Linked DNA regions of Danio rerio. The protein of the gene in region 1 interacts with the protein of each later gene in a pairwise test. Links are inferred from orthologs where the notes say so. Each region holds a gene or a part of one and is shown in the gene's direction. Other genes may lie near its edges. The genes, in order: mapk8ip3 and klc1a.

What was found.
Region 2: the proteins of mapk8ip3 (region 1) and klc1a interact in binary tests that used the Homo sapiens proteins (3 or more experiments, as listed by UniProt). The link is inferred for Danio rerio from reciprocal best matches to the Homo sapiens genes MAPK8IP3 and KLC1.

What each region holds. Positions count from the first base shown.
Region 1 is NC_133178.1:14,649,614-14,666,945, forward strand, and holds the end of mapk8ip3 (C-Jun-amino-terminal kinase-interacting protein 3), read left to right. Parts: intron 1-198; coding exon 199-370; intron 371-2,481; coding exon 2,482-2,595; intron 2,596-3,047; coding exon 3,048-3,086; intron 3,087-5,951; coding exon 5,952-6,113; intron 6,114-7,889; coding exon 7,890-8,036; intron 8,037-9,179; coding exon 9,180-9,304; 3' UTR 9,305-10,613; downstream 10,614-17,332. Other genes in the region: nme3 (nucleoside diphosphate kinase 3), read right to left, coding at 13,614-13,731, 16,370-16,482, 16,561-16,662.
Region 2 is NC_133188.1:17,809,239-17,826,570, forward strand, and holds part of klc1a (kinesin light chain 1), read left to right. Parts: intron 1-5,814; exon of another isoform or gene 5,815-6,106; intron 6,107-8,828; 5' UTR 8,829-8,829; coding exon 8,830-9,105; intron 9,106-9,203; coding exon 9,204-9,269; intron 9,270-13,191; coding exon 13,192-13,356; intron 13,357-13,453; coding exon 13,454-13,532; intron 13,533-17,332. UniProt on the Homo sapiens protein: Kinesin is a microtubule-associated force-producing protein that may play a role in organelle transport. The light chain may function in coupling of cargo to the heavy chain or in the modulation of its ATPase activity.

The sequences.
Region 1 (17,332 bases):
TTTGTTGTTCCTAAAACTTGGATAGGCAAAAACACTTTTGTTAGGTAGTGTGCTGCATTTGCATGCCTATGAAGGGAAGTATATGGGGCGAAAAGCACAGTGTGACTTAATTTGCGGTCTAAATTAAATCTAGTTGGTATGGAAAGATAGCTATAGTCTCTGAACTGTGTTTTATTTCATTCTCTCTCCTTCATGCAGAAATCTTTTGACGCTCACCCACGCAAGGAGAGTCAGGTCAGGCAGCTGGCGTGGATTGGGGATGGAGTCTGGGTTTCAATCCGTCTGGACTCTACACTGCGCTTATATCACGCTCACACACACCAGCATCTACAGGACGTGGACATCGAGCCTTATGTCAGCAAGATGCTGGGTAACACTGCTCTCTTTCCGCACTTCACATTAACACAACAGTGTTCAGTTTTATGTTGTTTCATTCATTTTCCTGCGGCTTAGTCCCTTTATTTATCAGGGACCAGCTTATCCAGCATGTTTTTTTATGCAGCAGATGCCCTTCCAGCTGCAACGTCAACTGTCTTTGGTCTACTCAGTATAGCAGGCTAATGGCCTCTCAGATATTATAAATATTTAAAATAGGCACTATCCTAATGAAAAAAACTGCATGGTTGCAATCTAAACAACTACATTTTCGACAAAAAAGCCTCAAAAGTACATTTATGTTGTCCAACAGCAGCAATGCTAGTCAAACTGTAGTGTCCTATGCTTGTTGCTGCATGTGGGTGGACGAACGCCTATTTCACACCGCAAGCTTCATCGGCGCGTGAGCAGAGCGTGAGCAGCGCGTGTGTTCTCGGCGTCCATGTTAACAGATTTGAGCTTTCATACCGCACGCAGCAGCAGCGTGTCAGAGCGAGGCGTGAGCGTCGCCGAAGCAGCAGTGCAGCGATAGTTTCGGCGTTGGGTCTATTTTTGCCACACTGCTCACGCTCAATTAAAGTGACAGTGCATTGATAATGATCAAAACACAATGAATGACAGTAAAAAGTAGCAATTTTACCCAATAAATGCGTTAATATTGTCAAATGATTTATTTATAGTAAATCAAATGAACTTAAACGATTAAAAACGGCAACAAACATTTATTTAGGCCCGAACTACAAAACCAAATGTAAAACAATTTTAGTATCAGTTTTGCTTAAGTTGCACACTAGTGTTGTAGGAGAGGGGAAATAGAATATTTACAGGATTTGTAGTCCATAGCGAAGTGTATTGTGGGTAGTGTAGTTCGACACGCATGCTGGATTATGTGAGCTCGCTGTGTGCTGTGCAGCTGATGCAGAGGAAAAAAGTTTTATTCGACTTTGTTTTATGTTCACTCGAGTTATTTCTACCGGGAGCTGTTTGCACTGTGAACCTGACAACACGAAAATAAGTAAAATAATGGCATGCATTTGTTACTTTTGTCCGTCTCATCCTCTGCACGAGCATGAATTAACGAGCTGTTATTCTGCCGCTGGACATCACTGAAGCGGAGAAAGTAACACTAGTTTGATCATGTATAAATATCATTATAACTATATTGTATAAATATTATTATAACTATAGGCCTACAGCAACCTGACAATTAAAAAACAAATGACATGATATCACAGGCGATTGTCTTCTGACACTGTAGACACTTCTCATTAAGCTTGAGAAGCATACAGTACTATTTGATCTATGATTAGTAAAATAAACATTTGAAGGTTAAAGAAACAGCATAGAAGGAAGTTGCCGCGGGCCTTGGTGCAGATGAAAAGTTTAAAAAGTGTATTTGTATATAGAGAGACATGGGTAACTAGATAGAATAGACAGAGATAGGTTGAAATCTGCAGCAGCTGCCGAAGAGCTGCGCTCTGCAGACGCAGCTGGTATAAAAGGCAAACGCCTGCGTGCTGCTTCTGCTCTCCGTACGCGCTGACGCTTGCGGTGTGAAACAGGCGTAATACACAAGGGTAAAGGGTGAGAAGGCTGGTCCAGTGCTGTTACTGGCCAAATATCACATGGCTATCAGCCAATCCGATTAATGAACCAGACAGAACTGTTGTATGTATATGTATATATTTAAATTTTCAAATTTATTTGAAATTTACATCTATAATAGACTAATAGTTGTGTGATATAAATATTTTACATTCTGCTGTCTTTGATTGGGATTTCTTTTTGTTTGAAGTTGAGTTTAGAAATTAGTCAAAACTGAACATTTGGGCATTGCATTGTGTGTGTGTTTATATATTTCTTTTTGAGAAAATCTTCCATTTAAAAGACGCCATATTTAATAAAAAATTGTATTTACTTAAGCATATAATAACAATATAACAACAATGTTAAGTGTAATAAGAGATAATTTTTTTCCATTTAAACCTTTTAATATTTTTAATTAATGACAATTTTATTCATTAACATGCTTCAAATGTTATAATAGACCGCTTGTTGCAATACAAATATTTGACAACCTGCTGTCTTTGACTCTGTGATCTACAGGTACAGGAAAGCTGGGCTTCTCCTTTGTCAGGATAACGGCCTTGCTGATTGGAGGAAACCGATTGTGGGTGGGCACAGGAAATGGTGTCATCATCTCAATCCCCCTGACTGAAAGTAAGTCTCATCTGTATTTGCATGCAGACGCTATTAAAGATTAACACCTGCCCCGATCACCCGAACCCTTTTAATTTCCAACCAGCAACAATCTCCAGTCATTGGTTCATTTAAACTGGTTACTTCTGGTTTTGTGATGGACTCTATCATCCTGAAGCTGACTGAGCGGTCAAACACGAAATGATTCAAACCCCAGGTGCAGCTAAGCTAGTAAAGCAGCTTGGATCTCGTTAGCTCTCCAGTTCATTGGATTAACCTGCAACCTTTAATGTCATCATCCCAGATCACTAACCACTGGGTCAACATCCTAAATACATTAATTAGCCAATGAAGCTCCTCTTGTCTTCTCCTCCTCCTCTCCTCTTTCTGTATTGTTCCTCTCTCTCTCTCTGTGTTGTATCTGATGAGTGTTGCTCTCTCGTCCTGCTTTGTTCCTCTTCCTCCTCCTGTAGCCGTAGTGCTTCACCGAGGCCAGCTGCTGGGATTGAGGGGTGAGTGTGAACCCTGACCACCGTCACTCTTGCGGCATCGCTCACACTTCTGGTTCTTTTTCGTTTATTGCATTGGTCAAATGTCTTTCAGTTTGCTTTATTATGGATGAAGTATGTTTTCTGTGCATTGCCAACTTCATTATTTTCTTTATTTTTCATTTTTTTCATTCACTTTATTGGTCATTTTTTTACATTTTAATTTGCAGTGAGGATAAAAGTTATAGATGATATCGCCATATAGTAAATGAATGTTTGTCTTATTCTGTAAAGTGCTGATGAGATTTTTTTCATATATTAAATGAAAATGTTGTCATTTCGAGAAATTAACTTCAGATTGATAGTGATCTGAAATTTACTAAACAAGTAAACTCGGTTGTTAAATCCATTTTTTTTTCTATTTACGACTTTCTCTTTTAATGACCTTGAGAAACTGACCCATGCTTTTATTTTAGGGAGACTTGACTATTGCAATTCTTCGTTTGTGGGTATTAGTCAAAATGCCCTGATTAGATTGCAATTATTCTAAAATGCGGCTGCGAGACTTCTGACAGGGAAGTATGAGGACATATCCCCAGTTCTTTCCTCTCTGGGCTGGCTGCCTGTTAGGTCACGGATTGATTTTAATTAATAAATTTTTGTTTATAAATCCTTAAATGATATGGCACCACCCTACTTATCAGATCTCCTACTGTACATTTATGTAATCCTGGTAGATCACTAAGGTCTTCTGATCAGTTTATGTTTTCTGTACCAAGGTCCCGGTGTAAGCGGAATGGGAATCTGGCTTTTGCTGTTATCGCCCCCAAAGCTCCCACCCCACATTAGATACGCTCCAGCTCTATCTGTTTTTAAAAAGCTTCTGAAACTGCATCTTTGTTCTTTAGCATTTGAACCTTTTTAATGTTGAGGGGTTGCTGTTATGTATGTGATGTAGGGCTTATTTAATTAGTATTAATTGTGTTCATACCTTTGGGCAACGTTTTGTTATAAAAAAATGTAAAAAAAAAAAATCTAACTAATTTTCATTATATAAAAAAACACAATATCAATGTTTTCACTTTTTTAAACATGAATATTTTGTGGAAATATTAATGTTTAAAAAAAAAAGCAGATTGTTTTAAATAACTGCATTTCTCTTTACATTTTGTTAATTTGGTATCCAATTGTTTAGATTTTTTGAAATGGGAAATCAGAGAAATAAGTTTATGTATTAAACTTTAAAGTGCATATACTGCATTGGTTTAATAAGGTAAATTGTTCTCTGTTATCTACATATTAGCTTTATGGCTTCGGTAAATACAAAAAATTTCCAGAAACGAATTTATAAGTTTATTAGTCTCCATAAAATACCCCAGGTTTCATAAGGTCCATGATTGACCATATATGGTTCGTGTCGTGAATATTAATGAGCTCCACTCTGACGTGCAGCTCTTACACACAGGATTGTGCGCTGACCATAGACAAATATTAACCTAATCAGAGTGGATAAAGGCTAATTAATGATTATACTTCACAACAGAGAGTGATGGAGATTTATGGTGTTGTATTTTGAATTTACAGTCAAAGAAAACAGCCAGGATTTAGTATCAACCTGTGCATGAACAGATGACAGTTGAGCTGAGGGATTTGACACGATTCAGCAGTCTTCACGTGTTTGTTAAAACAGCTGCATCTAATTTCTCAATAAACACGATATATTAACAAAATATGTAACTGAACAAACCTTATGCCTCTTCAGAGTGGAGATAAATAAATGTTTAATGTGTAAATCTTGCATTTTGCGTACTGAGGCCAGTATGAAATGTGTCTCTTGCTTTGGTTGCTCGGTAACGCACAGTAAACATTGTGGGGCTCGCGTTTTCAAAATAAAAGTCCTAGATACATAGCAAGTGAAATTTATTTTCATATACTGATCTTGTATTATTCTACTAAGCCTTGTTATTCCCAGATTTTCATTGTTTAAGACAATAATATATTTACATATAATCTTTACATATGTAGTGTTTAATGAAACCATAGTCTTTAATTTGTCTCATCATTCACTAAAATGTATTTCTATCCATTTTGTTTGAAGAGAAATACACACACACAATAAATAATATAGAAACACTTTATAGATCGATATTGCTGTATTTCCAAGCTCTTAAGTAAAATATAAATTTAGTTTTATTTTGTGGACTACTTGTGGCTTTTTTCCACATTTAAAATAAAAATATCATTTATGTGTTAAAAAATTAACAGGCACCAGTTTTTTAAGGCATATCTATACAACTTTTAACTTTACAAGTGTTAAAAAACATTAATATTTTGTGTAAAATCTTATTTTTTCCTAAAAAGATTTTTTTTCTGTAACAAATGACAACATTTTGACTCATTTTCATAGATCTTCGTAAAATAAAACAGATATTTACTATTTACTCAAACTTGTACCAGTTTTTCAACAAGAATGAAAATATAAATCTGTAAACGTAAATCCACACATATTTGTCTGATAAATCTCTTTCACTAAACGAAATTCAGTAACCGTTAAACTCTTTTTTTTTCCAAAAACAAAGAGAAACGAAGATTTCGATGAACACCTAGGTCTTCTTTTAATGTATACGATAGTTCCATGAACTATTATTGTTGTTGGTTTTATGCTTTATGAATGAATTTTCCGTCTGTGCTTATCTCATATAACATCAGTTTATCTTCATTTCATTTATTTCAAATGCTGTGGTCATGTTCCTTTGGTTTCTTTAGTGTGCATGCTGTGAGCTCTTTGTTTTCTTCTGCACCAGATTCATGTATTAATTTGCATGCTCACAATCCCAGTGAGTTTCTAGACATTCTGCTTTCTGATTGGTGGATTCTGCTCTGTTGCAGCCAATAAGGTGTCGCCTACATCATCAGGAGGCGTGATCCATGTATATGCAGATGATAGCACCTCAGAGAAGAGCAGCTTCATCCCATACTGCTCCATGGCACAGGCGCAACTCTGTTTCCATGGACATCGAGATGCAGTCAAGTTCTTTGTGTCAGTGCCAGGTTAGTGTCAGTTATGTCCTTATTTAATCTAAGTAAATTGCAGTAATAGTAATAATAGTAATACAGAAAAAAACTATTTAGTATAACTTAATCTGTTGACGTTATGTTTCTAGCATGAATTGTTAGCATTTTAGCATGTTACCTTCATGTTTCTAGCATGTTGATGTGTTTCTAGCATGACACATTTAGCACTGCTAGCATGCTGTAGTAGTATATTGGTAACATGTAACTAACATTATTTAACAGTGTTTAACCACTTTGATAGCATCATTCTAGCATAGAATAGAATTCTAGCATAGAATGATTTAGCAACTGCTAACATGTTTCTAGCATGATTTAGCACACATTTAACAATGCTAGCATGCTGTAGTTGTAGAAGTATATTGGTAACAAGAATTAGCTACTGCTAACATGGTTCTAGCATGACTTAGCACGTTTAAAGCCTGTTTTAGTACATTTCTAGTATAACTACAAAACTAATGATGTTAATCTGCTCTTAACATGTTTCTAGCATGACTTAGCACACTGCTAACATGTTACTAGCATGACCCAGCACACATTTAACACTGCTAGCATGCTTTAGTAGTATATTGTTAACATGTAAGTAAAATGTTTAAAGTTTGTTAGTTTTAACAATTCGATAACATGTTTCTAGCATGATTTAGCACACTGCTAGCGTGTTTCTAGCATGACTTAACACACGTTTAACACTTCTAGCATGCTGTACTAGTATATTGTTAACATGTGAAGGGGACATTATACTGTCAGTGGGCGCCATCTTTCGGATGAGATGTTAAACCGAGGTCCTGACTCTCTGTGGTCATTTAAAATCCTTTTTTTCGTAAAGAGCAGGAGCCCTTAATCAGCCCTCCCAATCATCCCTATCCACTGAATCAGCTCTATCACTGTCTCTCCACTCCTCCAATAGCTGGTGTGTGGTGAGCGCACTGGCGTTGTTGTCCTGTGGCTGCCGTCGCATCATCCAAGTAGAGGCTGCACACTGGTGGTGGTGTGGAGAGACCGCCCCCCCCCCCCCCCCCCCCCCCCCTTATGATTGTAAAGTGCTTATACACAATAAATGTGCTATATAAATACACCTTACATTACATTATATGTAACTAACATGATTGAGCACTGTTAATGTTTAGCACTTTGATAACATTAAGTTTCTAGCATGATTTAACAAGTGCTAACATGTTTCTATAGCACAATTGGCACACATTTAACACTGCTAGCATGCTGTAGCAGTATATTGTAAACATTAACATTATTTAAAACTGTTATTGTTTAGCACTTTAATAACATTACGTTTCTAGAATGACTTAGCACGATTAATATTACTAACATGCTGTAGTAGTGTATTGTAAACATGTACCAAACATGATTTAATACTGTTAATGTTTTAGCACTTTGATAAGATTACATTTCTAGCATTATTTAACATACCGCTAGCATTTTTCAAGCACAATTTAGCACGTTTTTAGCATGTTGATTTCTTGTACAGTGCTACATTGAATTAGCCTTCTGACAGCATGTTGTCGTAGTGTTTTTCTTGTATTATTTTACACTATCAGAAATATTGTAGCAATTTTCTGGCATAATTTAACACTCTGCTAGCATATATTTACAGCGATTGATTTAGCACATTTTCATCATGTTTTTGCTTGCCTTTGCTAACGGAAAGTAAAATCCCCCCCCCGCCATGATATGCATGATATAGTTCTTCTGGAAATAATTTGGTCAGTCATAAACGATCTGATGTTGTGTGTTTTTCAGGCAATGTGTTGGCCACACTGAACGGCAGCGTATTGGACAGCCCATCAGAGTCTCAGGGGTCCTCGGCCCCGGCAGAAACAGAAGCACAGAGTCTTCAGAATGTGCTGGTGCTCAGCGGAGGCGAGGGTTACATTGACTTCCGCATCGGTGAGAAGCAAAAACAACACAAGCTAAATTAGCATGCATGAATGTCAATCACATGCCAGTGTTTGTACATAATCAGAAAATTATTCAGGTGCAATCATGTAAGTATTTAGGTGTGCGCATAGATTCGTCTCTCACATAGGACACTCATGCAAATTGGATCTGAGGGGAAAAACTCCACTAAAGGCTTAATGTTTTGCATAGATTGTGGTGTTAAGAAAATCGTGTATTCTTTTTTTTACCAGTCTGTATTTGAGAGTGTTATCAGTTATGGATTATAATGTAATCTTTCTGTAAATTTGAAATTAAATATGTTTAAAATTGTCTGAAATGCTATGAAACTTATAGGACTGAAAACCAGCACTGACGCCCCATTCACACAGGGCGCCAGCTTCAACGCTTCCCATTCACTTTGAATGGATGACGTCAGGCGTTGCCAAACTGCATTGTGGATCCGTCGGTTGCCGCTTCAGAGGCGTTACTCGCTGCAGAAGTTGGGACTTGCTCAACTTTTCAAGCGCCGACAGAAGCATCAGCCAATCAGATCGCTGTATGCAAATACACCACCTCAGACAGTAGCCAATTGCTGACTAATTTCATTGGCCGATGCTGCTATGACGATCGCGTCTGCCCCAACTTCAGACCTTCCCCCTTGTCAAGCGTTGACACTGAAGCCCCGTGTGAATGGGATGTCAGACTCTACACTTTAAATAAAGGGAAAAGCTTGTTGATGCTAGTGGAATAGCCTCAAAAACTCATTTATTCCAGTGTCAATTAGACTGTTTTAACACTAACAAAGGCTCTAGAATACCCAAGAAGTGTCACTCGTATAGTTTTGAATGGGAGAAAGTGTAACGATCAATATGGTGAATGAAGCCCCGCCTTTTAGTACAGGAGCCAATCATCGATCGATGTAGACTGACAATTCTCCGTGGGAGGGTCTTGGACCAGACGTGACTTTCTGCAGATTTCGTGGGATTAGAACGTTTAGAAATGAAACTAAGATAGAGTTGTTTTTTACTTTTATTCGTGACTCCTAATATGAAATTGAATCGTAAGCAAGTTTGGAGAATTTTATGTTTTCGCATTCAAACAGAATGCCTGAGCATACAAACAACAACTAATCCTAACTGACATGTTTCTCAGGTGACGGTGAGGATGACGAGACGGAGGAAGCAGACGACGATGAAGCTCCTCAGATGAAGCCAGCCTTGTCTAAAGCAGAGAGGAGTCATATCATCGTCTGGCAGGTTTCTTATGTTCCGGAGTGATTTAAACAAACACCTCCTGCCTGTACCCCCCGCCCCCTATAAATTCCCCTTGTCCCAAAGACAAAGTATGAGTCCTTTCTGTAACTTCGCCCCACGCTCCGTAACAACCACGGCCTTGTAACTACCCCTCTTTAAACTCTTATATTGACCCCATTAGCCTGTATTTCCCTCAATTATAACTACCTTTAATCCACCTCATAACGTTTCCCTCCAAAAACACACACAAAGATCAAAACGTCCTGCATCTTACTACTGAGTTCAAAGGAAATGCATATAAACAGCTTAAACCAGAACCAAAACTAAGTTCCTGAAAGAACTACCCAGTTGTTTTTCTTTTTTGCCAAATAACCCTGACCTTTATCTGTACAGTCCCTCAGCACACAGCTCACTGAATCAGGAGATCATCCTGGAAACACTGGTGTACATGCAAACAAGAGGGCAAAACCAAGAGAGCTCAATATGTAAATACTGGATTGAATCTTGCACTGCAGAGAGAAATGTGAGGCAATAGATGAGGATAATTAAATGAACGATCGGGATCGGCTGGAAGTCTTGCACAACCCAAACATGTTTCAGTGTCATCTAAAATATTGTAAACTAAAGAGATAGTTCATCTTAAAATGAAAGATCTGCCATCGTTTATTCATCATCAACTTCTTCCAAACTCATTTACTTCTGTTAAACAAAGGAAGATATCTGGAAGAATGTCACCAACCAATCAGATTGATTACAATAAATACCATGGCAGTAAATGGGTGGCAAGCTTTGTTTGGTTGCTGACATTCTTCCAAATATCTTTCTTTATATCAAAAAAACGTGTACAGGATTGGAAGAAATGTGAGTAAATGCTAGAATGTTGTTTTTTGGGGTGAACTATCCCTTCATTTCTTTTAAAGCTGGGGTAGTCTGCCATAGTTTAGTTGCAACCCTGCTTCAACGCACTTCCCTGTAGGTTTCAAACAAGCCCAAAGGATTTAATTAGTTTGATCAGGTGTGTTTAATTAGGGTTGGAACTAAACTGTGCAGAGCTGCGGCCCTCCAGGAATCGAGTTTGACACCTGTGCTTTGAAGCAACATCTCTTTAACCCCAGTTGCAGTCCTTTATTTATTGTTCCGCCTCAGTGAGATGTGTGCTGACTGGATCTGCTGCCTTCCCTCTGGGATAGTGAGCATGAGGTAAATCGAAGCCTTTGATTGGCTGTCGGTCTGACAGAGATGGACATCCCGCCCAATCGCCTTGTATGTAAATCATCACTCTGTGTTCTCTGTGTGGTATTAAGTATTAAGAAATAAACGTTTATGTGCTGAATACGTCCGTCTAAAGCGGCATTTTTTATTAAAACGCTGTCATCGTTTTGTCACTTAAAATACTCTAGATCAGCGTTTCTCAACCACGTTCCTGAAGGACCACTGGCTCTGCACATTTTCCATGTCTTCTTAACCAAACACACCTGTTTCAGATCATCAGCTCATTAGCAGAGACTGAAAGACCTGTAACTGGTGTGACAAAGGAGACCTCTAAAACCTGCTATGCTGGAGGTCCTCCAGGAACGTGGTTGAGAAACACTGCTCTACATGACATGCAGAAAACAGTATTAATTGTCACTTTTTTCTGTTGTCCACAAAAGATATTTTGAAGAAAGCTGGAAACCTGTTACTATTGACATCTATAGTAGGAAAATACTTTGGAAGTCAATTGTTACAGGTTTTAGAGGTCTCCATTATCCTGGACCAGGCCGTATCCTGAGCAGATGCTGTGGTGGTCATGGCGGAGTGGAGAACATTAGACTCATTTCAGATCGATCTCATGGGCCAGCCTGAACACACGCCGGTGACCTGCTCACACCTGCAGTTTCTCCACGATGGACATCCAGCGCCTAGACTGCAGCTCTGCACAAGATTTTTGGCCAGAGGAGAAATGGCCCAACTGAGCCTGGTGCTCTCAAGGTTTTTTTTTTTTTTTTTTTCTTCACTTTCGTCAATTGCTCAGGGTGTGCGCAAGATCTTAAAATGTCTAAAATCTCAAAAAACAAATGTTAAGCCTTTAAAAAAAATCTGTAGGTCTTAAATCTTTTTTTTTTTGGACAGGTCTTCATTTTCCTTTCTCATGTATAACTACTTAATCTGGCCAACACCCATCCAATCAGGGCTTGGCATTAACACCCGCCACATGTGGCTAGATTTCAGATGTGACCGGTTAGACAACCACTCCTACTAGCCACTTTAGCTGGTTGAAGATCATTTTTAATTTGCCAGTGGTGGCTCTTCAATTAGAATTTTAGGTCATGGTCGTTTGACAATATCCGTGCAAATGTGATCTTAGAAACAAGAAGCAGCGTGACTGATAAAAATAACTGCGTGAGCAAAAGCAAGCAGATGAATACCAAATGAGAGTTTGATCACACGGCGAACACCCTCACTCGCTGACGAGGGCTTTAGTGTCGCACACACAGCTGATATGATGCAAGCGTTTTTAAAAAGCATGTGCGCTCTCATTTTGTTGCGCGAAGCAGCAACCATGCCCGGAAACGCAACTGGAGTGATCAGTTCACTTTGAAAAAGACAGGAAAAAATTCCTGCTGCTTTAAAAATACCAGGATTTTTTTGTAAGCAGCAGCGCTTGCCGCTTTCGCTTTAACCGTTCTTGGAATAGATCAATAATGGTCGTAACGTAATCATGTGCTAGTGATCTTTTCATTATCGCACATGGAATGTTTTTCACCTGCTTTCTTTTGCTTAGTTATGTTTATTAACCCCTTCACACCTGAATTATGTTCCAAATTTAAAAAAAAAATTGGGATGTCATGTGATGTCCATTGTAATGGACGCAGGGTCTGAAGGGGTTAATGTGCTTTAAATGTCATCCTTTACAAAAACATTGCTTTAGTAGGAGATAACTCTCCATTTATATATAGTTTTCTGACCTTTAGCTGGGACCTTATCTGGAACTTTTAGCTTGGACAGATACTGTGTATAGTTTTAGATACATGACACTATTTTTTTAAAATGTCAATTGTTTTTTTAGGAACATTTTTGTTTTTGATATATTTTGTTTTTGTTTTCACACATTTAAAAAATGTGGCAATGAACTAACTTTGTTGTGGCCAGAGAACAATTAGGTGAATCCTGGTAAAGCTCATACACAACACACACACACAAAAGTTGAATGAAATGCAAGTGGACATAACAAATCATTTAAATCAAATAAGTCAAATTTATGCATATAAAATATATTTTCGCTACAACAAACTTGTGGCTAGTGGCGAGGGGCTAGCAAAATTGGAAAACTACTAGCCACAATGGCTGGTGATCAAAAAAAGTTAATGTCAAGCCCTGATCGCATCCAATCACAGACAAATCATCTCAGTAAAACTTTAACTTTTTGACACAATCGACATTGTAAAAGCGCTATAGAAATAAACATGAATTGAATAAAACATGAAAAAAAAATCATGATTTCGAACCACTTAAGGTTTCAAACTTACATTTTCATTTTTGTGTGAGCGGCCCCTTTTATTGTGATTATAAAATACAATTTACACCAATCACTTCATTTATTCCCTCTTTTTAGTAAATTATGACCCTGTTCAATTGCGTTACCTATTTCTGATTTAACCAATGAGGGAAACAATGCAACACATTTCTATATTTTGTACAAAATTAAATGCAAAGACATTTACTTCCCCTTTACGTGGTTATAAACCAAACATTTCATAAAACGGCTAAAGTCTTACCAATCTCAAACTTTTAAAAGGTAGTTTTAGTTTGCACAAATAATGGATTCAAAGTCAAAGTGAGAGTAATAATTTATTAAAGTAAGGCGGCCCTTTGGTCAGGTGAGTTCCAACCACTGAAACAAAGCATTATGTGATGTTCAAGTCAGTTATCAGAGCATGCTGGCCCTTCATTCGTTATTGCTGTCATGAGTCCTGATTAAGAAGTCTTGATTTGGAAATGTCGTTTTTTTTTTTCATAGTGCATCAAGATGACAAACATGTCTATATCAAAAGTTGGATTTAAAAATGTAAACAGTGTCTTTCAGATGGATGTAAACACTTTAGTGCAGGATTGACCAACTTTCTGAAAATGCAAACTAAGCCTAAATACACGTTTACAAAAGCAGTAAGTAAGCCGCACATTCAAGCTTGACCAATAATTGGATTTCAGATCATTTACCTTGTCAACATAAGCCAGCGTTTTTATATTTTGGTCACTCAATAGCTCGTGCAGAGCTGACTTTGATAAGCAGCTATCAGATAAAGCTGTCTGTGTGTTTAATGATGAACGCAAGAGTGTTTGATGATTGATTTCAAGCGTAGATCCAGTGCTGACCGCACTCTTCATAGCAGAACAGCTCATGATCCTCGAACCACAGGGAGATTTCCCGAGCAGCACTTTCAACAGAGTCACTGCCGTGAATCACATTCCTGCACACAGGAAGAACAGAACAATTCATGCAAAATCTTCAGACAGAAATAAACACATTCACGTCACACAACACAGTCCAAAATAACCTATAAACAGTACATCCAAAAACATCCATCTTGTTATGGATCTATCTATCAATCCATCGATAATGGATCCAATCCTGGTGTTATTCTGTAGTCAGATCTGAGTTTCAGCAGTCATGTCAAAGCAGTTATTAAATCAGCGTACTGTCATCTCCAAAACATTGCAAGAATTAGATGCTTTGTTTCCAGTGACCCATGGCAGAAGTGGAGACCCAGGTACACAATTACAGAATATGTTTTTCCATCATTTACAGGTTTTACAATGATGTATGTTTAATTTTGAATTTAAAATTATTTATAGTTACAAAACTGTCATTAAGGAACAAATTATTTCTTTTATAACTGGAAAGTAATATTGAAACCTATTTGTTGATACTGATGCCTGTTTTTCTACGCATGATTGGTGATCATAGTCAGGAATGTTGGACCATTATTGCCTTTTGTCATAAGTAAATGACAGTAAGTGTGCTTTTATTCTTGCCATAATGAAAAATATATCTGTTGAGCAACTCAATTATATATGTAGTCATTAATATTTTAATAAAGTTTAAATAGGTAAAACTGTCTGAGATATGAACAAAAGCAACTGAATCATCAAAGTTTGACTAACAAAAAATCTTGAATGATTATAAAAATCCTTCAGTCATAAAAATAATTAGTTTTAAAAGATTATTTATGATATGACACATTTCCGGAAACTTCCTACTCCTCCGTGTATCCGTCAGACTTTACAGTCACTTTCTGTTGTCATTTTAAAGAATATTACAACAGTGAATTCGGCAAGTATAAAAACCTCGTCCGTTTCGCAAGGTACACACGCACTCAGCGGAGGTGTGCGATGCGGCACCAGGCGAAAGTATAAATCCAGCTTAAGCTGAGTGATCGGGGGAGAAGGGCCTTAGTCAGAGAGCTGATCAATAACCCGATGGTCTCTGTCTGAGCTCCAGCGAAAGATGAATGCATCAATGTACAGAGACATCCTGAATGTAAACCTGCTTCAGAGTGCTCTTGACCTCAGACTGGATCGAGGGTTCATCTTCCAGCAGGACAATGACCCAAAGCACACCGCCAAAATATCAATGGAGTGGCTTCACAACAGCTCCATGAATGTCCTTGAGTGGCCCAGCCAGAGCTCAGATCTAAATCCTATTGATCATCTCTGGAGAGATCTGAAAATGGCCGCACACCATCCCTTCCCATCCAACCTGATAGAGCTTGAGAGGAACTGCAAAGAGGAAGGGGCAACAATTCCCAAAGACAGCTGTGCCAAGCTTGTGGCATCATATTCAAAAAGATTTGAGGCTGTAATTGCTGCCAAAGGTGCAACGAAGTATTGAGCAAAGGCTGTGAATACTTATGTACATGTGATTTTGCAACAATTTAAACAAATCTTTCACATTGTCATTATGGGCTATTGTGTGTAGAATGTTGAGGAAATCCATTAATATAATCCATTTTGGAATTAGGCTGTAACAAAGAAATGTGGAGAAAGTGAAGTGCTATGAATACTTTCCGGATGCACCTTGATATTTGGCAATTTTTACCAGAAAAGTTATAGAGTTATCATATTTATTATCATTAAAAATCTTATCTTTTTTTAATCCTTGTTTGTTAGTTTGTGGTTTTTATTTTGTTTATTTTTAATGAATTGTTTTTGACAAAAAAGCCTTTGTTGCTGAAATGAAATTAAATAAATATATAATTAAGATACAGCATTCAGCTTAAAATGCTATTCAAATGCTTTCCTAGTTAACCCAGTTAAGTCATTGGACAACAGTGGTTTATTCTGTAGCCAGTTGGGGGAAATAAAATTTAAGGGGGCTAATAATATTGACCGTAGCTGTTTTTACAATAAATAAGACATACTTTTTAAAATTCCAGACTTTCTTTAGAATATGTTAGGAAATAGTCTAACCTCTGTTAAACATTACTTGGGGAATATTTAAAAAATTATTAAAATCTTACAGGAGAGCTAATCATTTGGTCTTTAACTGTTTATATCCATCTTCTGTTGCTCAGAGAAAACTAATATTTTAAACTAACTGAACCACAAAAGGATTATAAATGACAAAAGAAAAGACTTTACAATAAAACCCCATTAGCAAACATTAATAATGCATCCATTAACCATCCTCAACAGTGGGTAAAAGACATTATTTGTAACAGAAGTTACTGTATTAGATGCTAATTTTCACTTAAGAAATACTGAAATTTTCAGCTCAATTAAGTAAAACCTTAAGAAATTTAAACAACCTAAGAGTAACAAAAGTCCTTCCAAGCAGGTCTCATTTGTGTCTGCATAAATAAAGCAGTGAAGTCTTACTGTAACAACACTGTGCATGTTGTAGGCCAGATTAACATTCAAGCATGAGATGCAGCATCATAAATGTTTTAAAGAAGTATTCTGTGTGAACAGCTCCTAAAGTTAATTAATAATTAATTAGCATTTATATCAGCCAACACATTCATCTATTATCCATGCATCTATTAACCCTCATTGCATCCATCTTCTATCCTCAATGCATCCATCTAAAGCATGCACAGACACACTAACCTGCCCACTTCCACACAGTAGTCTCCTCTGATAGTGCCTGGCAGGGAGTCTGCTGGGTTCGTCTCTCCAAGCATTTTTCTGGCCGTCTTCACCACATCCAGCCCCTGCCAAACCTAACAAAACAACAACAGAAGGCTCTAGATGCAAACACTGAATGCATAACTTTTGGATGATGATGAAGATGATCTTACCATTGCAACAATGGGTCCAGAGCTCATGTATTTGACCAAGCCGTTGTAGAAAGGTTTCTCTCTCAGCTCCCAGTAATGCTGTCTGAGCTGCGCCTCTGATGCCTGAACAATAAACACATCATCTTAATATGTAATACATTACTCATCTATATGTGACCCTGCACCACAAACCAGTCACGAGGAGTGATTCTTATGAATTTAAGATGTGAAAGCTGAATAAAGCTTCCCACTGATGTATAGTTTATAATAGGACAATATTTGGCTGAGATAAAGCTGAAAATCAGAATATTGAGAAAATCGTCTGTAACCCTTGTGTGCTGTTGGGGATATTTTCATACACTCTGGGGGGATTTTGAGTCTTAATTTGGCCACAACTTTCTCTGTGCTCTGGCTAGCGGAATGATTTTTTAGTGACTAATCTTATTTTGACACATATTTTGGGAAAATGCTTTGAAAATTTCAAAGAATTCAACAATAGACTTTGGGCTTATTGACTACCCTTTCGGTATGTTGGGGCTGTTTTTGCCCCATTGACTTATCTCCGTAAAGATGGCCCCTCACCCACCACAAAAGGTCAGCAAAAAAGTCTCATTTGTTTGTGCTGCAAAAATACTAATTTGTGCTGTTTTAGTTTTTGAGATATTGAAATAAAATTTGGAAGTCATGCAGGCGCATGTCAGTGGTGGATGTACGGGTGGGGGCTGCGTGACCGCTAAAATAATGACCAGCAAATGTTACTTTAATATCTCAAAAACCAAAACAGCACAAACAA
Region 2 (17,332 bases), on another chromosome or scaffold:
CAAATGATAAATCAAATCCTCAAACTGACTCTGCAAATGATAAATCAAATGCTCAAACGGACTTTGCAAATGGTGAATCAAATCCTCAAACCGACTCCTCAAATGATAAATCAAATCCTCAAACTGACGTCGCAAATGGTGAATCAAATCCTTAAACTGACATCGCAAATGGTGAATCAAATCCTTAAACTGACATCGCAAATGGTGAATCAAATGTTCAAACTATAAATCAAATCCTTAGCATTTGATTCACCATTTGCGATGTCAGTTTAAGGATTTGATTCACCATTTGCAGAGTTGTTTGAGCATTTGATTCACCATTTGCAATGTCGGTTTAAGGATTTGATTTATAGTTTGAGCATTTGATTCACCATTTGCGATGTCAGTTTGAGCATTTGATTCACCATTTGCGATGTCAGTTTAAGGATTTGATTCACCATTTGCGATGTCAGTTTAAGGATTTGATTCACCATTTGCGATGTCAGTTTGAGGATTTGATTTATCATTTGAGGAGTCGGTTTGAGGATTTGATTCACCATTTGCAAAGTCCGTTTGAGCATTTGATTTATCATTTGCAGAGTCCGTTTGAGGATTTGATTTATCATTTGCAATGTCGGTTTGAGCATTTGATTTATAGTTTGAGCATTTGATTTATCATTTGATCTTTTAAGCATTTGAATTTTCATTTTAATTTTGATAGGAAAAAACTTCCATACAATAACAATTTTAGGATTGGAAAAAAATACCTCGTAAATCATTTTTTTCTTATTGCCAAGTTTTTCTCTGACCCCATAGCGGGCCACCAGTGACCCTCTTGCGGTCCGTGGACCCCTGTTTGAAAATACCTGTCCTAGACGATCTTAATCCAGCATTTCTACGATTCTGCCAATCATATTTTCAAGTTCAGGAGAGAAGAAAAGAGGGCCGCACAAGTCTTCACATTGTTTTACATACGTTGTTCAGCAACGTGGAGACCAATGGTGTTGAAATGGTGTTGAAAGAGTCACATACTGTATTTATAAGGAATAATTCACCCAAAAATGTCATTTCTGTCTTCATGTAATGATGTATTCCCGGCCGCGATATCACACGTTACGTGAACTGCTGACTGAGTTGTTACCACATAGAGGGCGGGCACGCGCCTGCGAATGAAGTCTACTTTAGTGAACAGAACCTGCATAGGCTGTGAATAACAGGTAATAAAGTTGTAAATAATGTTCAGTTTGTGGAACAGAGTGATTATTTGAGGGCCTCACGGGAAGTATGAATCGCACTTAACAGTGAAAATGAAACTGAAAGCATGCACAACATTTAAATAATCATCTGGCATTATAGAGTTAGGATTAGGCTACGACAAGCATTTGATATGCTTTTTTCTTTCTTAGCTATCACAAAGTGTTGTGGATGAGAATAGACAATAGACCTACATATAATAATAATATAGTTTTTACCATATGTTTGAAAAATAACAATAATAATAGCCCACTCAATAACCTTAATTTTACATCTACAGCATTGTGAGAAAATCGTGATCTTTATTTTAAGCAAAAAAAAATTCTCATTTTAGCCAGAATCATGCAGCTCTATTGTAATGCTTTCATTATAGAGTTGTACAAGCTCAGATCTTATTTATTGTATTTTTGCTTAAATATAAGGATATTTTTAAAATGAACATAAATCTTTCACAATTTAACAAGAGTCAAAAAATGTTTTTTTCATGACTAAATTACAGATTTGTCAATTTGGGTGAACTGTTCTTGTAATCTCTGCTGCTTGTTTTATTTTGGCATGGTGTGTGGCCTTCCTGTAATATCAGCAATATCGCTTCCTGTGACTTCGCAGTGAGAATGTTGTGTTAGTTCGAGGCATAAGGTTGGACCACCTCCCTCTTCCTCTTGAGGTCACAAGAGAGTATTTCACCATCGACAGGGTTGTGAGTCATGCTATAGTTCTATCGGCTTAACAGCTCTGAGTAATGAGTCTTTCACCCAACATACTCAATCTTGTCAACTGTCTGCTTTTACACCTCAACATCCTCTATTTATTCCTGTAGCTAGACATTTGTCAATATTCAATAATTCAATAGATAGTGATAATGAACATGCATAATTTTGATATCCTGGGCTCTTCATTCATTTATTTTCTTTTCAGCTTAGTCTCTCTATAAATCTCGGGTCGCCACAGCGGAATGAACCGCCAACTTTTCCAGCATATGTTTTACGCAGTGGATGCCCTTCCAGCTGTAACCCATCACAGGGAAACAACCATACACTCTAATTCACACACACACACTATGGACAGTTTAGCTTACCAAATTCACCAATAGCGCATGTGGGGCAAAACAGACCACCTGGAGGAAACCCACTGGAACACAGGGAGAACATGTAAACTCCACACAGAAACGCCAACTGACCCAGCAACAGCTCAAACCAGTGACCCTCTTGCTATGAGGCAACATCGCTACCTGTTGTGCCACCACACCGCCCATCCTTGGCACATTAAAAAATACATATATTTAGATGTTTAGAGTATTTTGTGTTTTGTATTTGCAGTAAAATTCATAACAGCCCCAAATGCTTAGATAATTAATTATTCTAATTTAGCTTAATTATTCTAATTTAGCTTAATAGTTCAAACATGAACATTTTCACGTGCTAATGTGATCTACATGATGAAATACTCACTGAAATGTGTGATAATGTTAGTTATTGCCTAATAACGTAGAAAAATAATGTTAAAATGTAGTTGTACTCTGATAAGTCGTAATTTTTTTATTAAATTGTGTTAATAACTAATATAATTCAGCAGTAATATTTGTCAAACTGTACAGTGTCTCTGCTTGAACTGGACAGAACTTTTGTATAAATATATATATGCAGTCTTATGCATCTTTGCCATGATGACAGTAATTAATATTTCACTAGATATTTTTCAAGACTCTTCTATACAGCTTAAAGTAGAGATCTGTACTGCATTGCGCTTGGTGACAAGTGTATTTTGCAGTGCCATTGTATTTTGCACTGTCTGGAGCCAGCACCTAAGCTTTTAACTCATCACAGCACACGTGCTGCTGATGATGCGACAATAAAAGTGATTTGATTCGACTAAATTTTGAATCTCGCTTCTGCCAGTTTTTAGTTCGAACCCACCACCGAAAACCTCCCAGCGATATGGTCCGGACAGTCTTAAACAAGATGTCTGTATTAACACAGACACACAGCACCAAGCAAGTGACCCAAACACCATCACGCACATAGACATTACCAAGCTCTCTCTCTCTCATTCATACTCATATACACACACACACACATAGACAGCAACAATCAAGCTAAACACAGCATCACACTCTCTCGTTCACACACATGCATACGCGTGCTTGCTCGGGAGTCGGGAGCGATATTGTTAGACCGCCTGTTCCCGTTCAAATTAAACCAGTTACCGACCGCTCCCTCGATTTATTCGAAAATTTATTCTCATGCCGCAAGAAATCTGATCGGGTCCTGTGGTACAGCCGCGCGAATGCAGACCTCTAACGTAAAGTGACATTTAAAGGCTTAACTAGGTTAATTATGTTAACTAGGCAGGTTAGGATCATTATACAATAAATTGCCTAATTATGTTTTTTTTTCTGTAGATTATCAAAAAAATATATAGCTTAAAGGGGCTAATCATTTTGATCTTAAAATTAAAAACTGCTTTTATTCTAGCTGAAATAAAACAAATAAGAGTTTCTCCAGAAGAAATAATATTATCAGACATATTGGGAAAATTTCCTTGCTCTGTTAAACATCATTTGGGACATATTTAAAAAAAGAAAAAAACATTCAAAAGGATGCTAATAATTCTGATATTTTTCTCTCTTTTACAGTAAAGCAATGCACAAGTATTATTTCATAATTATTATACCTGTTATATACCTATTTTTTGCGACTTTTTTCAATATTGTGATGATAATGTATGCTGCGATATAAACTTCAGCAATTAATCACACCAAGAAAATGTTATACAGTCATAAGCATAATCTCTAGCACTTTCTTTCCCATCCTCTTCTCATTGTAATAAATCATTGATTGTTATCATTTGTAATTCAGCAGGATGCATTCAGGCATGTAAAGTTTTTAAATTTTTATGTCCTTATATGATCTCATTCATTTAGGTATTTTCCTTTTGCATTTTTATTTTAGGAAACTGGAAATTGTATGCACATGTTTATGGCATCATTTTAACCTTGTCAATGCAATCACAAAAGGATAGCACTGGGAACCCTTGGTTGTGGGAGTCACAATTCCAAAGTGTTTCTTGACATTTATTTATTTTTTTCTATTTTGTTGGGTCTGCAAATACATCTTTCCGACTTTACATTTTATCCAGAACATTATTTTAAACATTCTTCTCTATTGTTTTGGGGATGCCAACTGCATGCATCCGAGCACGTTTTTTTGACAGCATAAAAAGTTTAATCTATCATAAGTAAAATTAGATTTTATGAACGGCATTTTTTTTAAGTGTGTTTTTCTTTGTGTTGTTTGTTACGTTAAGCCTTTCCTTATTGTGGACTTTAATGGAATAGAAAATGCTTAACGTGATATTGTTCACTTTATCTATGCAATCAGGGCCCGTTCTTTTGATAATGGTTATTGTTAATCACAAGAAAACTTTGACAGAAATGTGGGTTTTCCTTTCCCTGGTTGGTGTTAAGGTATATTAACCCATGTTAGGCTGTTGTCTTATAATGGATTTCTATGGGGAAAATGTTTAAAGGGAATTTGTTCACTTTATGCAAGCAGGAGCCTGTTCTTTTGATAGCAGAATGTGTTTATCATGAGTATATTCCTATATAAATGTATTTCTCACCGTTTGTTGTTAATTTAAATCATAGACTTTATCGGAATAAAATGCTTAACGTGACATTGTTCACTTTATGGAATCAGAATGAGCTTTTTTATGTTAATTAGTATTAATTACAAGTGAATTTTGATAGAATTTTAGTTTCCCCTGTTGTTAAGCTTTTTCCTTGAACTTTAATTGGTTGAAAACACTTAATATTCACTTTATGTATAGAATAAGGGCTTGTTCTTTTTATAGTAGTTAGGGTTAATTACAAGTAAAGTTTCTCTGGTTGATGTTTAGGTACATTATGCCATCTTATGCGTTTTTCACATGGAGCGATTTAGAATGACCTATTCACAGACAAGCAGTCTGTATTTGTAACCCAGATGTTATATGTTAGCAGATCTAAAGACCAGTGGAGCTGGGGTGGAGGAGGATCTTTGAAAAAGTGCTGAGTAACGTCCAAATTCATAGTATTCTACAAACAGTATGTGAGAGGTTACTAGGTGACCTACACAACCAGCGAGAATCTGAAGTGTGCATCCGATGGATGCTACAGTATCCCATGATGCCACATGAGAATTAATTAATGGGAGTGAAACTGATGTGGGTAAGTCACATGATAATGACAAATGGCAGATGTAGAACGTCCGAGTTCCATTCATACTCTATAAAACATACTTTTCTAACAATCGTGTAGTAAATTCTAATTCAAATGCAGTACCTGCTCAAGTAGTAGGCAATTTCAGATGCAGCATGTCACATTTGAAAATCTTAGGAGAAAGCTCATTGCCTTTTGAGGTGACAGCAACCTCTCTCCTCTGCTATGTAGTTAATGGCGCTGGAGCAAATTAGCTGTGACCTATCAGCATGTGCAGCAGAATCTCAGTACTTTGATTCCCATCATACATTGGTGTTTCCTGCCCAGTGCTTGTCACATGGCAGATGATGAACTACTTATGGGTCACATGAATCTGCTGCCTCACTTCCTATTTCCCCTCCCACAGGAATAGAGCACAAACCCGAAGCTTAGGAGCAGCACATAGATCTGCTTCTCTTTATATCATAATTGCAGGGAGTAGATGTGCGATTGTTTTCATGAGAGAGAACAAATCTGTGGAGACGTGTTTATTTCAAATGAAAGGCCTTTACCATTATTTTCACTGTAGGCTGGATGTACATCATTTGAAAGGGCAACAATCTCAGATTCCTCTTGCTGTTTTTTGGAAATTCAAGTGTGCTTAAGTGTCTTGGCTACCGTGAACTGCCTTACCAGGTGAGTTGTGTCTTGGCAACAGCAAAGACAGCTGCTTTGTGTCCGTGTGTCAGGCTGGGAAGAGTCAGAAGCCTCTCAGATTCTTGAAGAGGGTTTGCATTCTAATTGCTTCTCTGAGTGAACTTGCTTTTTGTCTTTTAGTGTTATTTTAAAATGTAGTGTTCATTGTGTTTGCCAAGTCAAGCATCCTTTTGTTTTTCATACTAAAATTAGTGATTTGAATAAACCCTGAAATATAGTATAAAATGCCAGCTAAAAAAACATCATTGTGGGTTGCTGGGAAGAAACTTGTTGCCTTTCTTAGAGATGTCACCTTATGATTTCACCTGGTTTCTCAAACACAAACTTGGGATGTTCTGTCCTTTTGCTGGAGGGACATTGTCCTAAGTTCAGCTTTGACTTGTCTGGACGTTTTTAATGAACCTGAATAACTTGGTTGGTTTATGTGTGTTTAATTAGTGTGTGAGGTTGGATACTCCTGCATTAAACCAACATCAAAGAACTAGTGGAAACTAAAAAAGGATATGAAGCTCCACTTTCCAACACTGCACATTTTGCACATCTGTAGCAGGAGTCTTCAATTTCACGACCTGTGTTCAGATGCAAAATCTTCCCAAATACCCTTAAATAGTTCACTATTGAAAAAAAGCAGCCATTTGTAGGGGTGTCCAAAACCAGTTGAATTTTTGAAGTGCACTCAATCCCACAACGCACCGCATAGCAAGTGTACAGCCCATGTAGACTCAACAGATTGAAAATACCAGCGTGATCTCAGGAGGAAACATAACTCTTTTACGTTTTGTCAATGTAGTGGATAGTTTGTACAAATTCATTTATATAAAAGTGTATTATTTTAAAAAGGAGGGGTGGCCCCACCCCTTAACCCAACCATCATTGGGGAATGAGCAAATTGTACTAGATGGTATTGTTTCACTAAACCAAAAAGTTACGAATTGCTGTGAGAGAGCGTTGAATATAGACATAATGCACTTTGAGAGATTGTGTGCCAAAGCAATTTCTGCATGACAAGGCATAATTTTTAAATGAATATTTTTTTCATTGTTTATAAACAAAAAATATAGTTTGACTAAAGTAACATTAGTATACTGTATGTATGTCATAAAATGTATGTTTTAAATACTTTCATTACTTTTAGACAGCTCTCTAACTATTAAATAATGATCCCAGGGTCTGATCAAAAAGTTTAAAATCTAGTCTGTCTGAGAAATTTATCAACCAGTAAAGCACAAACAAAACTGCATCCTTCTCAATACACTGAGTGCTTGAATTTTCCAAATGACAGGTGACAGCCTTATATATCTGTCTTTTAGACCTGAACAATATGGTTTATCGTTTGAACATCGATATCACAATGACTACATTTACATGGACATCAGTAACCGAATTATTAGCCTTAATATGAATGAGAGAATAATATGATTAAGGTGTTAACATCAGTTGCTTTTTGAAAGTTCCTTTTATTATTCTGTTTTACATGTTATAGTACATAGTTTGATTAACGACATTGTGTCACCACGCTATCTACATTTCATGTAATTTTGGGTGTTTCATTTAAAAAATTTTTTACTTTAACTGCAGTTTGGCACTTTCACGTTCATTCAGGAACATTTCATGCATGCCCCTGTGACTATGGGACAAGCAATATTGGATGCGAGTATTAACTGCTGTAAATACAAAAAAAAGTGTTGTTTTAATGGAATTTGAAAAAAAAAAAAAAACTTTGCAATTCGTGATGCAGGTGTCTGTGGTACTGACTTGGTAGGTGCAGATAATAGTGTCAAACACCAGTGTGTGGTGGAATACCATGTTGCAAAACAGCGAAAATCCTACAAAATGGTAATAGTTTGATTAAGGTGTACTGCACTTACGGCTTGGCGATTTGGCCTAAAATCAAAATCTTGATTAATTGAAGATTTTAATTCGATTACGATTAATGAACGATTATTTAATTCTTATAAATAAATAAATAAATATACAACACTACAGTTGCAGTTTTTTTTTTTTCATTTCCTGTTGTGGCCGACGTGTGTTCAGGGACGGTGCGTGCATGCATAGAGATGACCTATGTGGCCGACTTGGACAGCAGAATAGTGAGCATCCCCCTGACCTCGCATCACCAGGCTATTCTGCGTTTCCTCCAGTTTCATGCAATTTCGGGTGTTTCATTTTTAATCTTTAGACTTTAAATGCAGTTCAGTAGTTCACTCTCATTCAGCATATTCTCATTCAGGACGTTTTAATGGAATTTGTTACCTCATGGCAAATGAAAAGAAAAACCTAATTTCGGGACTAGCGTGTTCCTTTAAGGTAATCAAAAATTGCTGCTTACATGGTAGACTCTTAATCAGTATTTCAAATGCCATTTAATGCCTGTGCTTTTATTTCTGCAATAAATACGGTGTTTCGTGATTAATCATGATTAATCACTTTTAGTGATTAATCATGATTAATTACAAAAAAGTATGATTAATTATATATTTTTTTATTATTTGACAGGCCTAATATATAAATTAGTGCAGTTAATCAATAAAAAAAATTACTAATTAATAACACTTTTTGCACTCACAGTTACAGTGATTTGAGTAATTTGTCAATGGTTTAAATGGACAAGAACAAGAAGGAAAAGGCACTCATTTATACAAAACAAACTAATCTTTACTGGAAACGTTCCCTCACATCTGTGTTATGTGTCTCTATGTAGGATGCGTGAGGATATGTCGAGCGTGCTGTGTGTGAAGGAGACGGAGGGCCAGGGGGACCTCGGTGAAAAGCTATCCCAGGATGAGCTGCTATGTCGGACGCGCGAGGTCATGCAGGGGCTGGAGGCGCTCCGTGCTGAACATCAGGCCATTTTGGAGGGGCTGATGGGGACCTTGCGCTGCCTCAAACAGAGCCAGGAGGGGCGTGCTGTTGAGGAGAAGACTGCAATGATCCAACGCTCAATGGAGATGCTGGAGCTGGGCCTCAGTGAAGCACAGGTACGATGTGGAAGTTATTACAAAATGTGATGAAATTTGCTTGACAACATGGTAACATAGCTGCTCTCCCTCTTTCTTTCTGTTATTGCTCATTGCAGGTGATGATGGCTCTGTCAGGGCATCTGAGTGCAGTGGAGGCAGAGAAACAGAAGCTTCGAGCACAGGTGCATACACACACACAAAGACACTGCATCGCATGTAAAATTAAACTGCTCTCCGGTTCAGTGGTGTACATGCATCAGTTTTTGATTAGAAAGTCAAAACTCTAAATTGATGAGATAAAATCAGTTAAGAGCCAATACCCTACATAAATTTCCAGGGTTCCCAAAGGCCATAGAATTAGAAAAGCCCTATTCCAGATATTGAATGTCAGGGAATTTCATGTTTTTTGCAAGTGTTATCAGGAAATTTCATTTGACATTTTTAATTTTACTTTCCATTAGCACAACTTTTCTTTAACGTGGTTTTTTAAGCATGTTTCATGTAGTCATATTGACCAATATGTTTTTTTTGAAAGCATATTCTGAAATATTGGATATATATCAGGGATGCAGCAATTAACTGATTTCACTATTAACCTAGCTTTGATTTGTCACGTTATTTAATCGCAAAGGCTTCTTAACCCTCAGGGGTCTGAGGGTGTTTGGGACTCTGGAGAAGTTTTGACATACACTGACATTTGTGTTGTTTTCAGTATCTTAAAAACATATTAATGACTAAAGTGTGATAACACTGTAAACAGCACAAGCTGGGCTACAATAATACCCAAGCTGCATGTTTGTATATGTTTGTGCTTTTGAGAAAGAAACGTTTATGCGATTCTTTCGTAGTTAGTGAAAAACTAAAATTTCGAAGTCACTGAAACAAGGCTGTGAAACACATGAAGAACATTTGTTCACAACACTTTTGAGAACTGGATCTTGTAGCCTAGTGTTTTTGCTTCAAAATGATGTGAGAAACATCTTGTTTACTTGCTCACAGAAAACAATATAATGAATTAAAATTTCTAAGTCACTTTCTGAGTGAAAATGGTCTATACAAGAAGGCGTGAGCTATCAATACTAATGCAGTGAGTCACACCTGAGAAGACAAAGACCTGCATAATGAGCTGCATAATGAGCCTTCAGACAGGTATGTCACTAGGAATTTCAAGAGAAAATCTGACAAAAAAATAAGTTTATATATATATTTTTTGTTTGCAGTTTATTTAAAATATATTTTACTATCACACAAAATAACTCTAGATACACTTGTGAGAGTCAGTACACTGTATAAAACTCTGTAAACTATATAAACTTACACATAGCAAATCTACTTTAAAAATAAGCTAGCTGATTACATTACTACATTTTTAACATTTCTGTGTTGTTCACTGACACTAGTACTAATTTACCTAATAATCTTGGTTACCACATAGAAATTATAAACTGAATATAAGCTGTTTTGTAAACAACTGGCAGTATTTATTTTTCACAGTAGCATAGCATATGCATACTTGATGAGAGAACAGAATGCAAATAACAAAGAAACTATAGTTTAACACTAGTAACCACAAATAAGTTTACCATACTCGCAAGAAAAGCATTATTAGTAATGTATAGTCAACAAGTTGTTTCAAACCATAGTCTAGTAAAGTACTTGACATAATTTGTTTTATTAATTCAATAGTTGCTGTGGTAATATAACCACTAGCCTATGGTATTGTACATATAATAATACACACACACACACACACACACACACACACACACACACACACACACACACACACACACATATATATATGTGTGTGTGTGTGTGTGTGTGTGTGTATGCATACATATACATGTACATACATATACATAAATATAATCAGTTAATTACTTGAAAAGAGATTATTGGTTTTCAACTTGAGTTGGTTATTGCAAAAGTAGACATATCAAGCTTTCTTTAGATAAATCTCTGATATTTCTTTGTTAAGTATTTGCTGAGTTTCAGTTCATTTGTTTTTCCTGACAGTCCACACTTGCGTGTGTCTCATGCAGGCTATTTGTAATATCAAAGACTCACCGGCGTGGTAGCATTAACTCTAATGAACTCAGACTGAGAAACTAGACATAGCATTGGTTTCATACTGATTACTTTATCAAACAATATTTGTTTTTAACATGCACTCACTGCAATTAAAAGTAGACACTTCAAGCTTTCGAAAGATATGTGTCTCGTGTCTGTGTGATTTGTTTTCAGCATTTTACTGGCGCGTTTCTAAAAACAGTTCACGGAGAGAGAAAAGACTGATTGCCTACACTGTTTATTATCCTTGTTTTGCAAAAGCACCCGTTTGTTGTCATTGTGAGTGTACACATTGAAAACTAGACACCTAACAGATTCGATTGATGTCTTGATCTCATCTGTACGATCAAAACTGAAAGTGTAATTTAGGTTGTCAGAACGCATATACGCGGTCTTCGACCCCAGGGGGTTAACGTTGTGTTTCTTCATGGAACAAAACTGCTACAACTAAACAAAGTCATCCCAACTGTGTACTAGTTTAAAGTTATACCCACACACACTGGGTTAACTGTGGCTTAGGCTGTTCACATATTATGTCTTTTGAGCGTGCAAGTTCGTTATTTCCGGTAGAGGAGAGCAATGTGCATGCAGAGTGCTAGCAGCACAACGCACACACTTTTTCTTAATTTAAATGTACTTGCATAAATTCACAATTTTTCAATAAATAAATTATTGTGCATTAATTGGTGCCATTGATGTAGCTGATTTACTGCCTCTCTGCCTCCCCGATCGTCGTTGACAACATGCACAGACCTTCATTAAACAGCAATGGCAATTTACTATTTACCTTTAGGTACATCAAAAGAAGAAGCTGTATTAATAATATTGTGGCTCAAAAAGGAATATGTATAAATAATATTGTAAGGGTCTGTATAGTGAGCATGTGTATATAAAGTAATGGCTTTTGTTCAGTTTGTTAATTTGTTTGTTTATTTATTCATTCATTAATTTTCATTAGTTTTAGACATGGCATATACTGTATGCTGTACAATAAAGATATGTGGAAAAATAACTGAAAATTTAACTGAATAAAATAACTGAAATGTTATTAGCATTATTATATGATTATATTATTATTATATATGTTAATATATATGAAAAATGTTTTTAAACTGAATATTGATTTTTATTTGGTTTGGTTTGCACATGCAGTTGCTGAATTATTTCAAGGAGTAAATTGCAATATTTCAAGAGGAATTAAATAAATGAGTAAAAACCACATTATTTCATTTACCAGAAACAAAAATTATAACATTACACTGAATTCATTATTTTTTGTGTGCCACCCCAAGATTTGGTGTGGCCTCTTCTGGCCACCCCTAAGAAAATTTTCTGGGGGCGCCACTGTCAGGTACACCTATTTGAAAAAGAATGCTGCAAGCACAACGCTAGTCACGTGACAAGAACTGGACTGAATAATAAACTTTCGATTAATGTAGTTGACAAACGTTTTGTAAAACAGAACAATCGCCCTTACTGATATTTTGCAGTAAAAATGTTGGTGATTTACAATTACAATTCAATAACTAAAAATAAATAATTAATGTTTTTTGTGAACTTTTTTTACAATCTGTTTTGTTGATATTACAAACTTTATTTACAGGGTACAGTAGTGTATTAAGTAGTGTAATATTTTATGTATTTTTTTTCTTATCAAAATTGGGCCCAGGTACAAGATATAAAAAAAATATACACTTGAAATATTAAATACTCAAGAAAACATTTGATCATTCAGGTGTTCATCAAACACACTATTGTTGTGTAGTAAGATACAATACGCTTTTTTCTGTGCATTTGACTTCAAACTTAATTCTTTATTTAAGGATTACAATTAAAGTTCTTTTTTGGCGTTAAATCACACGTCATTATATGGGTAATCACCTCTGAGCTGGCTGGTTTTAAGGATTTATTCAGTATTTTCCTTTTCAAGGTAAAGAACTTTCCAAGCCAGGGCTGCTGAAAACATGGGTCAGCAATTTTGTGTAAAAGCTGTAGTGTGAAAATGCTGTGAATCTGAGTGCTGCTGTTGCACAGGTACGGAGGCTGTGTCAGGAGAACCAGTGGCTGCGGGACGAGCTGGCAGGAACCCAGCAGCGGCTGCAGAAGAGCGAGCAAAGTGTGGCTCAGTTGGAGGAGGAGAAGAAACACTTGGAGTTCATGAACCAGCTCAAGAAATATGATCAAGATCTTAGCCCATCAGTGAGCCCTCACCTTATTTTCCCTATGACATTTACCATATTTTCTGTTTTTTTTAGTCTTACCTTGTGCTTCTCTCTTTCTAACACTTTCTGTTCAGGATGATAAGGACTCTGATTCCAGCAGGGAGACACTGGATGATCTTTTCCCAGATGAGCAGGATGAGCCTGGACCTGGCAGTAAGTACTTTAGAAGCACTCAGTTCTGAACAGTTGATAAAAGAGACATTAGTTAAATTCAAGATGTTGATGTACTTCTAGTATAAACACTTAAGTATCATTATTGAGTATTATTAAGTACTATTGAAACACCATGATTTAGTTAGTAACAATTTAGACTCTAAGGGCCATCATACACCAGGCGCAATGTGGCACAAGGCGCGACGGAATTATTGTTTGCTAGTTTCAGCTTGGTGCAAGAGTTGTTTTGACGTTTTGTGCCACTCTGTTTAAATAGCAAATGCATTTGCGCTCATATGTGCGCCCAAAGGCATTCTGGTCTAAAAAGGAAGGCGTTCTAAGGCGCATTGCTGGTGCATTGCTATTTTAAAAAAAACTATTATAGATTTTTCAATAGACCAGAACAAAGCCGGTCTAAAGTCCAGCGCAGAGCGCGTTAGTTGTGTGCTCCTCGCTTACTCACTGCTTAATACACACAAGATGTAGAGCAATACGCTACGCAAATATCTTTACATATGAAAAAGAATACAAATATTAAGGATATATATATAGGATATAATTAGGATATATATAGGATATAAATATGAAGGATTAAAATAATATAAAACATTTTCTCGCCTATAAAAATTTAAAAACCATACTTTCATGCCTTTTTCATCTAGGCGGCTTTTTCAGTTTATTCGTGATAATTTTCTTTGGTATAATGTTATTAATATTAGCAGTATTATTTATTATATCCATATTTATATCTGTTTTATTAAAAACAAGCTTAGATTTGCCCACCTGGCAGGTTTCAGACCATATGGGGCACAGCATATGTATTTGGATATAACTCAGTTTTTTGAGCACACTTCATTATTATTGTTCATTTATTCGTTTGCTGGAAATTAGAACTGAATTTATAAATAGTTTTGAAACAAATCTTTGCGCTTAGCAAACAAAATTAACTATGTATAGGCTAATGGATGTCTGTGCGTACAAGGTTACCCTATCCACGAGAGCGAAAGTGAAAGTAGATAATGCGAGGCCTTATCTCTCATTCTCGCACTGCAGATGCTCTGTTTAACTGTTTTCTTGCTAGATGAGACTCTGATTGGTTTATTCTCAAAACACACCTATAACTTATTAAGAAAATAAGCTCAACCCTTTTAGATCATCTACCACGGCGCAAAGTGGATTTTTCCATCCTTATTTTAGCAAAAGTGAATTCCGACATGCCCTTAATGCGTTTGCGCTCTGCGCTTTGCATTTTGCAAAATAGAGCCCTAAAAGTCTTAGACCCCTAGTAAAATGTTTTAAAAATGTATTGCAAATTTAAAAAAATTTGATTATGTGATCTTAAAATATACTAAACATTTAAATAAATGCACTCAAAAAAGCTTTCAGGACAGTGAGCTTTATATTATTATTATTCGTGCTGTTGTTGACATACTTTTTTGACATATTAAAAGAATGTCTAATCTGTAATTTGATGCCTTCTGGAGATTTTTCCATCTTTCCTTGGCTTCTTTATGCACATTAATACAAATTTTCAATCCCCACTGTATCTAGTAAGAGCTTAATTTGCTGCTTCAGGTGTGTTTGATTAGAGTTGGAGCTAGAGCTGCACAATTAATCGTTAAAAGATAGCGATCTCGATTCGACCCCCCCTAGACGATCTTAATCCAGCATTTCTACAATTCTGCCAATCATATTTTTAAGTTCAGGAGAGAAGAAAAGGCGGCTGCACGAGTCTTTTCATTGTTTCACATACATTGCTCAGTGACATTGACAAATGATGATGAATGAGTCACATACTGTATTTATAAGGTATAATTCACCAAAAAAATTAATTTTTGTCTTACTATAATGATGTTTTCACGGCCGGGAGCCAAAATCAGGGCTAAAATCACGCAGTCTGAACTAGGCATTAAACACACGCAGGGTCAGAGCAAGCTGAACTGGCGGTCTAGGCAAACGGCAATCAAGCCGCCCTCAACCAGAAAGTGATCTTTTTGCGGATGAAAGTAAGGATGGTGAAGGAGGGGGTGGGTGTAGCGGATGAAAGTGAGGACTGGTGGGTTCGCTCACTATTCTGCTGCCCAAGCCAGCCACCTAGGTCGCCTCAATGCACGCGCCATCCCTGAACACACGTCGGCTACAACCGAAAAAAAAAAAAAACTGCAACTGTGTCATTTGCTTTATTTTTTAATGTGTTAAATATTCAAATTAATCACGCTGATTAAATTAATTAATATGCTAATTTTGACAGCCCTAAAAAATAGTAGATTAACGTTTTTATTCGGTAGATATATTAAGTAAAATGTTTGAAAAGGTACCTTCTGGAACAATTTTAGAGTATTTATCTTTAATAAAACTATAAGATTATATATGACTCTTCTTCCGTGTTGTTGCTATGTGGATTGTTTTGTTGTTGTTTTTTTTCTTTACAATGTATGTTTGTTAAGAAATTGATATGATTATATGATTATATATTGTACATTTAGTAGTATATTTTTGCCATGAAAATAGCCAATGCTGCTGATATGGCATTAAAACCTAAATAAATGAATAAAAAATAGTACTATAGTTATATAATAGTTATATAATACTAGTTATATAAAAAAGCAACAACATGCAAATAAAAAGCCTTTTAATTTTTTTTTCGAAGGATTGTGTGTTTAAGCTAGATTTTATTGTACCAGGTTAAACTTTCTGACACCTTTATGGCAATTAAATACATTAAAAATAAATACTGGCCACAACTGAACATTGAGGGTGATCTCTGAGTGGCAGTCCCCAAAATTAAACCAAGAATAAACTTGAGCTAAAAACATTGTACCCACCAGTCTCATTACTTGAGATTAATATTAAATTAAACCAAATAATAAATGATCATATAAATTATAGCCTGTGGTTGTTAGACTGTTGCACTTTTTTGTGTTCTTAATATGCTTTTGTTTTCTTATATTTCTATATTTATAATCACCTTATAGGAATGTGGGGGTCGCGAGTCACTGGCATTGTCATTTTGGGGGCCTGGCCTGAAAAGTTTGGGAACCCCTGACTTAGACAAATGTATAGGCACTTGCTAAAAATATATAGTATAAGAGTCTTTGTATAATAATGTATGCTGAATATGTCTATATATTTATACTTGTGTCCATGTTTGTAAATATGGAAAAACATTGGATTTATTCCCTAGTTTAAATGAAAACAGTCAATAAATGTAATACAAATTATTGATGATTTAAAAGAAATAGTATTATTGAGAGGAAAAAATGTTGAAGTAGAGTTCTTTCCTTGTTTCTGCGTGAGCTAGAGAGTTTGCTGTCTTGAATTACTCTCCTTCCAGTCACTTCCTTTATTTTTCTGATAGAATAATTGATAATTGGCTCATTGACTGTGGAGTGAGATCAAAGGGCAGTGTGGGTCGGGTTGTGGCTCAGAGCTCCTCAGTGCACTGATATTTTTGGTGTCATGTGTTGCAGTCTGACACCGCTGAATCGTGAACGCACTCAGATTAACCCTCATTCTGACACATGAATGCCAGGCGGCTGTTTCCTTGTCAGTGATGCTGCCCTGCAGCAAATGATTTCCAGCTGAGTTTTTCAAAGGGAATGACATAAATCTTCTCTGAAAAATATTGCATTAATCTCTTCTCCTCATTCCTGAAGTGCTGGGAATGTGCTGTATCTTTTTACTTTCATTTTGCCATGTCTTTAGTTATTCCTTGTTTATTTAACGTTGCAAAGAGACAGCAGCAGATATACAGTCAAGCTAAACTACATTTTCCAATCACCATGTCATCCTTCTGTGAG